3 linked regions of the Alligator mississippiensis genome follow. The protein of the gene in region 1 purifies or fractionates together with the protein of each later gene. This does not show direct contact. Links are inferred from orthologs where the notes say so. Each region holds a gene or a part of one and is shown on either strand. Other genes may lie near its edges. The genes, in order: MTMR2, SBF1 and MTMR10.

Region 1 (3,742 bases):
GTCTGGGAGCTTGAGGGGCCTGATCCTGCATACCCCAGGAAGTCCCAGACAGAATCAGGGCCCTCAAGCCCCTCAGAGTGCATCTGTTCTCCCCACTTATGCAGATGTGCCCCCATGATCTCCTGGGCACATCTCAGTAAGCAAGGAAAGTCAGGGTTTGAGGGACCTGATCCTGAGCTGGAATTCCTGGGACATGCAGGTCTCAAAGAACATGTCACCTGTTGCCCCACAGCATCAACACACAAGGACAACAGGAAACATACATTTCACCCAATAAAGCAGATCAGGTGTGCAAGAACACAGTCCAGCACAGTTGATCCACTTCATTTGAAAACACCTATAGGTGAGATTACACATTACAATTAAGACTATACCAAGAGCACTTAAAACTTGAATGATCACATATTAAGGCTCATTAACAAATGCATCTTAATATTATGCCACTTTGGATGAGAATTATCTTTGAGCTGTGCTACCCATCTTGAGTTAACTTCTGAGTGTTCACCTAAGATTAAGCCATTTTCAGTCCTCCAGTATCCCAGGAGGCACTGCATGATGACTGACAGCTGGGAATAGCCTGGTAACAGGTGGGTGGGGAAGGGGTGAAGGGAGGGAAAATGGATGGAGGTAGGGGAGTCAGGGGACAGGGGTGGTACTGCAGGAGGGAAGATGGAGTGGGTAGGGAAAATGGGGGAGGGGGAGAGGAGCTACCGATCTGCTGCTCCCCCTACCCCAAATTGCCCTCCCCACCCCTAGATCGCTCTCCTGCCACAACTGCTCTGCCCCTCACCAGTTCCTCCACCCCCCCAGATCACTGTCCTGCTGCCCCAATCAGCCTGAGTAGCAGAGGTGCCAGTGGGGGGTACCCCCTCCCTGCCTGCTCCTGGGGTCCCTGCAGACCACACTGGCCCTGCTCACTTAGATCCAGCCCCCACCAGGCAGTGCAACTGAAGGAGAGGCAGGGGGAGAAGGCAAGGAATTGCCAAGCATTTGTGCAGCCCAGCGGGGATGGATCGGGGTGCATGGGGTGGCACAGGCTTTGGAAACCCAGTAGCAGGAAGGGAAGGCAAACCCCTCCCCACTGTGACAGCCACCACTGCTCTCTAGCTGATTAGGGTGGCCGTTCAGTGATTTGAGGGTGAAGAGGCAATCCAGGCGTAAAGAGGCTGATCACAGGGTAGAGAAGGAACCTGGGGCAGCAAGGGGTAGAAGGAGCAAGTGAAACAGTGGGGGTGGGGGGGTTTTACCCATGGGCAACTGGTGCCTCCTGGGTCGGGGGGGGGACCAGATCACCAACGGGGGGGTGGTCCCCAGCAGCTGATCGCCAAGCCCAGAACCACCAGCAGTGAAACCAGAAATGCACTTCTGCCGGCACTTCCAGTTTCTCAGCTGGTGCTTCCACAGGGTGCACGGCCAATCTCCGGGGGTGCACGTGCACCTGCATGCACCCCTATGCATCACCAATGGCCTTACCCCCTCCTCCCTTGCCTATACTGTGACTAGAGAATGAGCAAGCAGGACAGGCATGCCGCCCCTCGCCCAGCCTTGCTCATCAGCCCTCTAGTGGCAGGTTTGACTGTGCCTATTAAGAGGGTATTAACCCCAAATATGTGACTGATCACTAGCACTAGTTAACCTTGACACAGACTAACATTCCTTAGCTTTGCCCAGAAGAACTTTTACAATCTTTCTCCAATGCCTGATGAAGGGTGTTTGTGCCGGAAAGCTTACAATTAAATAATTTTTTTTTGCAGACGAAAAATCTTACCATCTCCACTACGAGTCCTGATCGCCTTTTCCTCTAGACCCATACGGCTACAAGCTGGCTACCCAACATGTCACCTCGCCCCAATTCTCCCCCGTGAAACCCTCTGGCAAAGCGTCCCTTTCCCCACTAGCGCTGGTCTACATCACTCCAGTAGGCGCCTGTCCTCTCTCTGCAGGTCGCTGTGGCGGATCTAAAAGGTCCCAAGCCAGCTAACGCTTTGCGCGGGCATCGGGAAGATGCCAGGGGATGGGATTTCTGCGTCGTCAGTACACCTGCTTTAAACGCCAAGGGAAGTGCACGCACGATCCCTGCTAAAAGAGCACTGCCAAGGTGGCGACCTTGAGCAGGGAGAAGTTAACCAACGCTGGAAAGCCGGAGGTCAGACACCATCCTCGCCATATCACCTCGCCGAAACAATGCGTGTGCCAGCCAGGGTTTCACTGGCAGTGAGTGCAACTCGTCTCCAATGGCGGTCTGCCACAGCCACATAAAGCCACATGGTTGGTGCCACCTTCCACGCATTGGCCAAACCAGGCACGAAACGTGGAGCAGCTACCAAAATCCCTCATCAATCCGAGGTCCTCTCCTTTGTGCCAAGCAGGTCGAGAAGGTGAAGGCAAGGCAGAGGCTGCACCTGGGCCCTTCACTTTGGGTTCCCGCCCGCGCCAGGGAAGTGCCAGCCACCCACCCACCCCCGACCCTGCCCCGGGCCCGCGGCTCCTCCGCCTCCCGCTCGCGGCCCGCGGCTCCTACCTGGACAGCGAGTCGGCGCTGGGCCGCCGCGCCGCCGCCGCCGCCGCCGGGGGGCCGAGGCTCTCGCAGCTGGAGCTCTTCTCCATGCCGGGAGGCTTGGGCAGGCGGGCCGGCAGGGAGGGAGGCGGCTCAGGCAGGGGGCAGCGGGCAGGAGGCGGCCATGTCCGTCCGCCCACAGTGCAGCGCGGTCGGCCGGCGCCAGGGCGGGAGGGAGGCAGGGAAGCAGCCGGGATGCGGCCGGGCGGGATGCGCGGGGCGGTGCCAGACCCGCCCGCCTGCCCCGCATCCCACCGCACCGCACCGCACACCCACACCCCAGGGCCAGGGGTGCGCGCACACACATAAACCCACACCCCAGGGGTGCACACACACACTCCTTGGGGCCAGGGGAGACCACACACACACAAACTCACACCCCAAGGGCGCACCCCCACGCACACACAAACCCATACCCCAGGGGTGCACACACACCACCCCAAACATACACCACATTGGGGGCCAGGGGCACACCCCCCCCCAACACACACCCCCATACCCCAGGGGTGTGCACACACCACCCCAAGCATGCACCACATTGGGGGCCAGGGGCACACACACACCCATCCCACACACACACACACACACACAAACCCACACCCTAGGGCCAGGGGTCACCCCCCCACACACACACACAGAAACCTACACCCCAGCAGTGCACAGACACCCCCCCCCAGGGGTGGGAGTACACACACACACACACACACACACACACACACACACACACAGCAGGGCCAGGGCACACACCCCCACATACATATACACACCCCAGGTGCACACACACACACCACACCCCAGGGCCAGGGGTGCACACACATACCCCACATACACACACAAACCCACACCCCAGGGTCACACACACAACACCCCCAACCCACCGACACAAAAACCTGCACCCTGGGGCCGGGCAGTGCGAGCCAAGGCTGACAGACCTGCCTGGGTGGGGCGCGAATGCAGCGCGGACATGAGCCCACATGGAGCCGTCGCCCCCCTCAGCCTCGTCCTCACAGCCGCTCCAAGGGGCCGGTACAGGGCACGTGGCCAGCGCCCACTGGCCCTCGAACTAGTCCGAGAGCCCCTGCACACGCCAGGCTGGGCAGGCCTGTTTGAGGTGCATTGGGAATGGGTCCGTGCCCACCAAGTACAGCTAAAAGCCACCTTAAGGTGGGGGTCTCTGAGTGCACA
Region 2 (3,742 bases), on another chromosome or scaffold:
TCAGCTGGGGCCTATTGGATCTCAAAAATACTGTTCTTCGGAGGCTCTGACACACACGCAGCCCTCTCTCCTGGCACAAACATCCACAGCCGGGCACCGCGCCGATGCAGAGGGACTTGGGCTGCTTGCAAGGCTTCGGCCAGCTGTAACGCATGCCCCAATTGGACAGAGGGGCTGAGCACGCTGCAGCGCAGGGTGCACCGTTAGGGACTGTGCTGAGCTGGAGGAAAAGCCATTGAGCCTTTGCTTGCAGGCCAGAGTTACAAACACGCCAGGTGCGCTGGCATCCAGCCCTGCCATGGTAGGATCCCTCAGTGAGAGAGCCCCCGGCTAGAGGCAGCGTTTGCTTTAGCCCCTGTCGAAGGGCGAGGGCAGGGCTGGCTGCAGGGAATGGTGCTTTCAGAGGCCAGCATGACTCTGCACTGGCAGGTCCTCCCTGAAAGGGCCAGGCCAGGCTTCCTGGCACAGAAGATGTTTCTTGCCAGGGAAAGACAGACCAACCTAAACAGTCTTGTAAGCATGACAGGTCCACCCCCGGCACAGCCCCCACAGTCAAATCCCACTTCCTGCCTATCTCAAGTACCACAAAAAAGGTTTCTCTGACTTTTGGCTCTGTACAAAGTCAGGGAGAAAGACTAGCTTGAGGCGCCAGACTGCTGCCTCCCTCCATCCTCCGCCCCGAGGAGCCCCGGCCCCCGATCACTTGGCAGTAAGCACAGCACCCTGCCAGAGTCGGACCGGCGCGCCATGTGCAGGCTCTGCCAAACCTTGCTGCAGAAGGATTTGGGAAGCTTGACTTCATTAGCCCACCCCGGCAAGCCGGAGGCCCGGCCTGCCAGGAGGTCAGACCCCCGAAGGGCTGCGTGTACCTACAGTGGGCTGCAGGACAAACCTGCTTCGTTTCATCTTGGCAAAGAGCAGGCCAGGCCCTCCATGGCCGGGCACGCCAGTTCTGGCTGTCAGGACCAACCCAACCAGTAAGACGGTGAGTCACTGTGGCTGACGCAAGAAGCATTCTCCAGACTCAGACACCACCCAAGCTCCTCCGCGGCCGCAGGAGCACGACAGCAGGAAGCGCGAGATGGGGAACAGGCAGCGCTGCTGCAGGGACCACAAAAATCACCCACCGGCTCCTGGGAAATCAGTGTTAGTGGTTGGGCCCCCGGGGGTTTCCGCCTACAAAAAGCAGGGCTGCAGCCCCTTAGCGCCCCAGCGTATCCCGCACGCAGCTCGGGAAAGCCCTGGACCGCTCGTCAGGGACAACCGGCATCTTCTGCATGCCAGAAGACACCCAGCTACAGCAAGGCTCAGCCTGAGCGGGTGCCAGCCCCTCGCGCTCCTCCTCCTCTGTCTCCTGAGGAACTTACTGACCTACTTCTTCTACCTCCTGCTGCAGGGACATTAGTGCACAGCCCGAAACCCACGAAACAAGGGCCCTCTTCTCTCAGCTCCAGCGGGGGTGGCGGCCTCGGGGCCCGAGAGAAGAGACCCAGACAGGTCACGGCGGGCGGCCCCAGCTCCACAGGGACGAAGGCGGCACCGAACCCCCTCTAACGGGGAGCAGCCGCTCTCCGCTCACGGTCCAGCATCGTCAGGGGCTGCCCGAGGGCCTTGCACACGCGCGTGCAGCTGCTCCACGCACCCCCGAGCAGCACGGGCAGGGCAGGGGTGACTCGGTCACAGTCTGCAGGTGCCCGTCGAGCGGGCGAGGCGTAAGGGGTGCCGGCCAGCGGGATAAGCCGGCACGACGCTGCTCGGACAGATCGGCCGGTGCCAGCCGCCGGTCGAGAGGCGCTCGCTCACGACAGGAAGTCCCACGGGTCGTGTAACGCCGGCGGTCCGGCTGCGCGGCCGGCCCCTGCTCCGCTGCACGGCGCGCAGCACGGCGCACACCCCCCACAGACAGCTGCCAACCCCGCTCACTCGCTCCCTCGTCCGTGCAAGCCCCTGCCCCGTGCACGCCCCTCGCACCAGCCCGACTCCCGGGCGTGCTCGTGGAAGCGTGGCAGGCCCCTCCGCCTCGTCGCGCTGCGCGTGCAAACCCGGCTGAGGCAGCGGCGGCGGGGCCTGCACCGGGGGGGGGGGGGAAGAGGGGGGCTGGACCATTCACCGCTGCCCTCACCGCCCCCCCCGGCCGCACTCACCGCGCTTGTCCATCTCGTAGCCCACCAGCACGAAGTAGTCGGCGAGGCGGGCCATGGCCGGGCCGGGCCGGGCCGGGGGGGGGGAGGCGGCCCGCTCAGGCCCCGCCGCCCCGCTCCGCCGCCCGCCCGCGGCCGCCGCCCGCCGCCATCTTGCCTCCGCCCGACCTCCCGGCTGTGGCACTGCGCCTGCGCCGCACGGCGGAAGGGGGCGGGGCTTCGGCGGCGCCCGCGCCATTGGCTGCCGCCGGGGAGGGGGCGGGGCCGCGAGGACGCCGGGGTGGGCGGGGCCAAGCCGGGCACGGGCCTTATACGGCGGGACCTGTATGGCCCCGCCCCCATGGCCCCAGGCCCGTCTAACCCTGGTCAGTAGAGCCCCAGCCCCGTATAGACCGGGCCCCCTATAGCCCCTGTCGCTGTGGCCCCACCCTCATATAGACCTGGCCCCATATAACCCCTAGCCCCCGGTTCATATAGGCCCAGCCCCGTATAGCACCTAGACCCCATGTAGCCCCCAGCCCATATAACCCTGGCCTAATATGACCCCAGGCCCATGTAGCCCTAGTCCCATATGGCCCCAGACTCATACAGCCCCGGTCACATATAGACCTGGTCCCATATAGCCCCAGGTCCGTATAGCCCTGGCCCAATGTGGCCTCAGCCCCCTGGCCCCAAATAAACGGGGGTGGGGGCGGGGGAGAGACCCCAGGGGAGCGGCGGGGGCCAGCACTGCGAGGCCCGGCTTCCCCAGGGAAATGCAGCTGTCTCTGGGGCGCGGCGCAGCCGCGCCGGGGCAGGGCAGGGCAAGGGGACGGGAATCCTCTGCCGCGGAAACCTCAAGGGAAAAGGAAAGGGCTGTGCTTCATCCTCCAAAACCTCAGGCCTTTCCCCGCGTTTCCTGCGGGCCTGCGATCGCTGCCCGGCAGGAGGGAGCGGCCGGCCCAGGCGAGGCAGGGACGCGGCCCGCGGCACAGGCTGCAGCTGGGGCTCGCTCGCTGGCAGCGGCAGGACGTTGGCGGCCGCAGCCCCCTGTACCCCGGGGGCAGGGGCAGGGGCGGGGGCGGGCATCTCTAGGCTGCCTGCTGGGTGTCTCGTTGCCCTGGGAGCGGTCTTGGGCAGGCGGCCTTGGGGCTAGGTCTCGCTGCGCCCTGGGCAGCACCTCCAAGCTCTACGGCAGTCGCTATTCCAGCCTCCCGTTGTGATTTCCACTGCTGTCGATGGCCCCTGTGCCTCCATGCTGGGGAGCTTGCTGGGGGGTGCTACCTGGTGCCCCCCCGCAGCAGGGCAGCACAGCGGCTATGCCCAGCAGAAGCCAGCGGTGCTCAGGACAGGATCTCTGCGACCCCAGAGCTGTGATAGTGTGGCCCCATGCCCCGTGCAGCCCGGGCTCCTGACCGCTGGGAGAGCGGGAGGAGGAGGGCACCGGGCGCTTGGAGCAGGCAGCAGCTGCCGCAGCTCCTGCTCCCGAGAGCGTAGCATCAGCGAGGCGAGGGTCTGATCACCGGGCGCAGCCCCAGAGACGTCTTCTGCCAGGGTTTATCCCCCATACAGGCCATGCCAGGTCCAGGCCACGGCGGCAGTCGGACGCCCTTGCAGTGGGC
Region 3 (3,742 bases), on another chromosome or scaffold:
ACTGTACAAAGTTTTCTAAAGTGTACTGTACATAAATCGATTAAACAGGGCAATACAGTAACTAATCACATCACATTTTATTTAATCAGGTGAAGGACCACTTTTATCAGGGTCACGGAATTCAGAAGAGCTGCTTTGGGGAGATTTTGGGGAGACCTAGGACCACTTGATGGTTTTTTGAGAAACTGATCCAGGGATGTGTTTTGCTCATGGTAAATGTCCCTGTAGTGCTGTAAGTGCAGGGATCCAGCGCCGTAAGTAATAACATGGGTGTAAATGGCTGAGCGCCGTAAGTCAAAACACTGTAAACTGAGGACTGCCTGCATAACCTACCCGATCCCTTCTAAACTTTTTATTCTACATGTGTTAATGACCCTCTTCTTTTTAATGGTCTTGATGTTCCATCACTTTGTTCTGCCATTCTGCTGTCTGTCCCCTGCTCCTGGTAACCAAGCCCGTTTCACAGCCCTGCAGACTGGTTTTAACTCATTCCAATGAAGTTATATTGGTTTTTGCTCACATCGTAAACAGAAAGTGCAGCTTGAGGCCCCTGGCCTATGAGGAAAGCATCTAGTTTATTTTTAACTGGAAAAAAACAGGTGTTATTTTAGATGTGACGATGCACGCCACCATCTGCACCCCCCCTTTCAAAATCTTAGATCTGTCCTCACACGTGCGTGTGTGTGTGTGTGTGTGTGCATGCTCATGCACGCTTACTCTTTTATACCCTCCAGCTATGGATCACGACTGATCTTTTTCCATTTCAGTCATGGTTTTTGTACAAGGTCGTGCCAACCACGGCAGAAGACACGTTGGCATCCGGCTTCTTCCAAGCCAAACCCATGCCACGGCTGGCTGGAGAAGGTGGAGGAAGCCATTCATTTGGAAAGCCGTTCAACCCTTTCTTTCCTTGTCTCTCTGCGGGGCCCGCGGCGCCGTGCCCTGCCCTGCCGGCCGCGCCGCTCCGCAAGGGGGGCAGTCGGTGGTGCGGGAGGCCAGGACACACCGCGCGGGTCCCGCCCGCCCACTCGCCCCGGCCTGGCCTGGCCTGGCCTGTCAGCCCGGCCCTCGCGCCGGGGCTGGGAGGACTCGGCTGGCGGCCGCGGGCTCCTCGGTGCTGCCGCCGGGCTCTTCTCCCGCCTCCCTGCCCCTTCTTCAGCCCCGAGGGCGGCTCCGGGCCGGGGCAAGTGGGCAGCGGCCGCGGCCACTTTCTCTGTGTGACTTGACCGCTCACAAAGGCCCTGCGCCGGCGAGGAGGAGACGGGGCAGCGCCCGCGCCGCTTGGCCCCTCCGCGCCGCCGTACCGTACCATACGGCCCGGCCCGGCCCCCCAACATGGCCGCCCAGGGCCCGGCGCCGCCGCTGGGGGGAGGCCTCCCGGCCGGGGAGGGGCCGCGGGGCTCCGTGCGGGTTGGGGCAGCCCCAGGCCGGGCCTGCCCGGGCAGCTGACTCCTCCCCGGGGAGGGCGGGGGCCGCGGCCGGGGTTGCTCCTCTGCCCGCCGCCGCCTCGCAGCTCCGGAGCCGGCGTCCGCAGCGCCCGTCCCGCGGCAGCGCCGGGCCGCGATGTTCTCCCTCAAGCCCCCCAAGCCCACCTTCAAGTCCTACCTTCTGCCGCAGGTAACACCCCGCCCCGCCCCGCCCCGCCCTGCCCGGGCCCGGCGGCACCTGCGCGGAGCCCCGAGGCGGCGGCGGCCCGGGCCTGGCTTCGGCTCCGGCTCCTTTCCCCGCGTGTCGCTGTTTGGGCTGCTGCGGGCGGGGGCCGTGCCCGTGTTTAAACCCCGGGTGACTTTCAGGAGCCGGTGCCTGTCCCGTGGAGGTGGACGTTTCACCTGTCACCTCGGCTCCTGGCTCCGGGGCCCGGGGGAGAGCGCGCCCCCGTGCCACTTGTGGGACACTTGCAGTCCAGACTGGGTGGGTGGGCGGGCGGAGGAGTTGAAGGGGTAGCGACCCAGGAGCCCCTAGGACTTTGGTCCAAACCTGGTTATGTTTGGTGTCTGCGTTTTCTCAGTAAAACAGAAATGATAGTGACAAGCGCTCCTCGGGGTTTGTATTTCTGGGCCGAGCCCCTTCTCTGGAAGTGGAAACCATTAGGTTCTTTGGCAAAAGTTTTCTGCATCGCGGGTGGTGCTGTACTTTAATTTATTTCTGGAAGTAAAAACAAAATGCTACGGCACCTTTTAAACCAAACAGATCAAGCTTTGGCTTCACAAGTTTCTCCCTACGGGTAAACTTACTCCAGCGATTGCCAGCAAGGGGCTGCTGCGCCTGGGGTGCTGTGAGATCCTTCTGCGGGTGCCGGACAATATTAGCGCCACTAGGTTTGCAAACACCCACATGTGATTCACAAGATAAAGCCAGAGATTTTAAGTAGGAGTCTATAGTGTTAAAAAACATCTGACTTTTTGTAGCCTTTCTGAGTTCTTTGCAACAGAAGAATTGTTCTGTTGTTTTTTTTGTAGTCAAAACATGAGGGAAAGCTGAGAGCTGGCATTTTCCTAGGGGTGCCCTTGAGTCTCTAACTATGTTGAGACCCACTGGCTTACACCCATGACAGTAAAAGAAGATGTATGTGCATGCTTCTGGCTCCATCCACCTGGATCCTATTCCAGCACCAGAGCCTTTAAGGCTCACTAGGGCTCTGATTCTGCCAAGACCTGGTTTGTACATGTGCATAAGTTTAAGTCCCATTTGTTCCTTTTTTGTGTGCATGTTTCAGGCTGAAGAGAAGATAACTCCAGAACCCAAGATTAAGAAGCTGGAACCGGTGCTTTTGCCAGGTAAAAAATAGAAGCTATATCTAGATAAAGTTATTTTTAAGGCTTCCACTTATACTAGTCATGTTAGTAACAGAGATGCAAGTTGTAATCTGTTTTGTTACTATTAATACATTTTATTCCATTCCTTAGTATGAAAGAAATGAAAGGAAATAAAGTTGTAATTCAGGAAGAAGATCTAGTTTGTGCTGTCGGAAGAAAGCTTTTCTAGTTTTCTTTAGCTCTTAAAACTAACTGAACATAGTAGGTGGGGTGTTGTCCTAGCAGTGATGGTTCAGGAAATGTCTGAGAGGCAAGACTGTTTTGTGGCATCTTTTATTGAACCAATTTATAGTGAGGAGAGGAGTTGGACAAACTTCTGGACATCAGGCCTGCACCTGCATCTCTGTCAAACTTGAGAAAGGACGCTCCAATCCTTGCCAAACTAGGCATAGGCAGGCATGCATTCTACATATTCATGATAAATTGTAGTTTGATATTTACTTGAGTACCTGTAATCTGGTAGCTTTGGTGACATGGTTTAGGCTTCTGTCACTTTGGATCACTGGACTGCAACCCTGGTTCTGCAGTTGGATTCACATGAGCATACGAAGCTTTGCCCTTGTGCCCTAGGTAGCTATCCTTGGTTAGTTTAAAACAAATGGTTGTACAGTGTACGCATTGATTACAAATACCTATTTTGTGCACCTTTAAGTTATAAGATTTGAAGTACTCTATTAAACACCCATTTTTTTGGAATTGATGAGGCATTTTGAAATAAGAATGCAGGACATTATTTCAAATGTGTTAGAAGAAATAGTGTGGGGTTAATTCTTTAAAATCCATAATTTAGAACAGAATTTGTGAAGTTTGACTCTTGTCCTATCTCTTTCTATTAAGAAATAAAACTTCTTGGTTATGTGATAGACATGTGGATTGTAAGACCTTGTTCTGGAACTAAAATTTCATTATGTTACTACAGATGTACC

What was found.
Region 2: the proteins of MTMR2 (region 1) and SBF1 purify together in Homo sapiens (affinity purification with mass spectrometry; 6 studies listed by BioGRID and IntAct, with this or other methods). This does not show direct contact. The link is inferred for Alligator mississippiensis from reciprocal best matches to the Homo sapiens genes MTMR2 and SBF1.
Region 3: the proteins of MTMR2 (region 1) and MTMR10 purify together in Homo sapiens (affinity purification with mass spectrometry; 5 studies listed by BioGRID and IntAct, with this or other methods). This does not show direct contact. The link is inferred for Alligator mississippiensis from reciprocal best matches to the Homo sapiens genes MTMR2 and MTMR10.

The regions. Positions count from the first base shown.
Region 1 is NC_081824.1:446,672,399-446,676,140, reverse strand, and holds the start of MTMR2 (myotubularin-related protein 2), read right to left. Parts: upstream 2,696-3,742; 5' UTR 2,608-2,695; coding exon 2,522-2,607; intron 1-2,521. UniProt on the Homo sapiens protein: Lipid phosphatase that specifically dephosphorylates the D-3 position of phosphatidylinositol 3-phosphate and phosphatidylinositol 3,5-bisphosphate, generating phosphatidylinositol and phosphatidylinositol 5-phosphate.
Region 2 is NC_081827.1:1,961,900-1,965,641, reverse strand, and holds the start of SBF1 (myotubularin-related protein 5), read right to left. Parts: upstream 2,258-3,742; 5' UTR 2,200-2,257; coding exon 2,145-2,199; intron 1-2,144. UniProt on the Homo sapiens protein: Acts as an adapter for the phosphatase MTMR2 to regulate MTMR2 catalytic activity and subcellular location. Promotes the exchange of GDP to GTP, converting inactive GDP-bound Rab proteins into their active GTP-bound form.
Region 3 is NC_081834.1:35,308,354-35,312,095, forward strand, and holds the start of MTMR10 (myotubularin-related protein 10), read left to right. Parts: upstream 1-1,108; 5' UTR 1,109-1,563; coding exon 1,564-1,617; intron 1,618-2,716; coding exon 2,717-2,777; intron 2,778-3,742.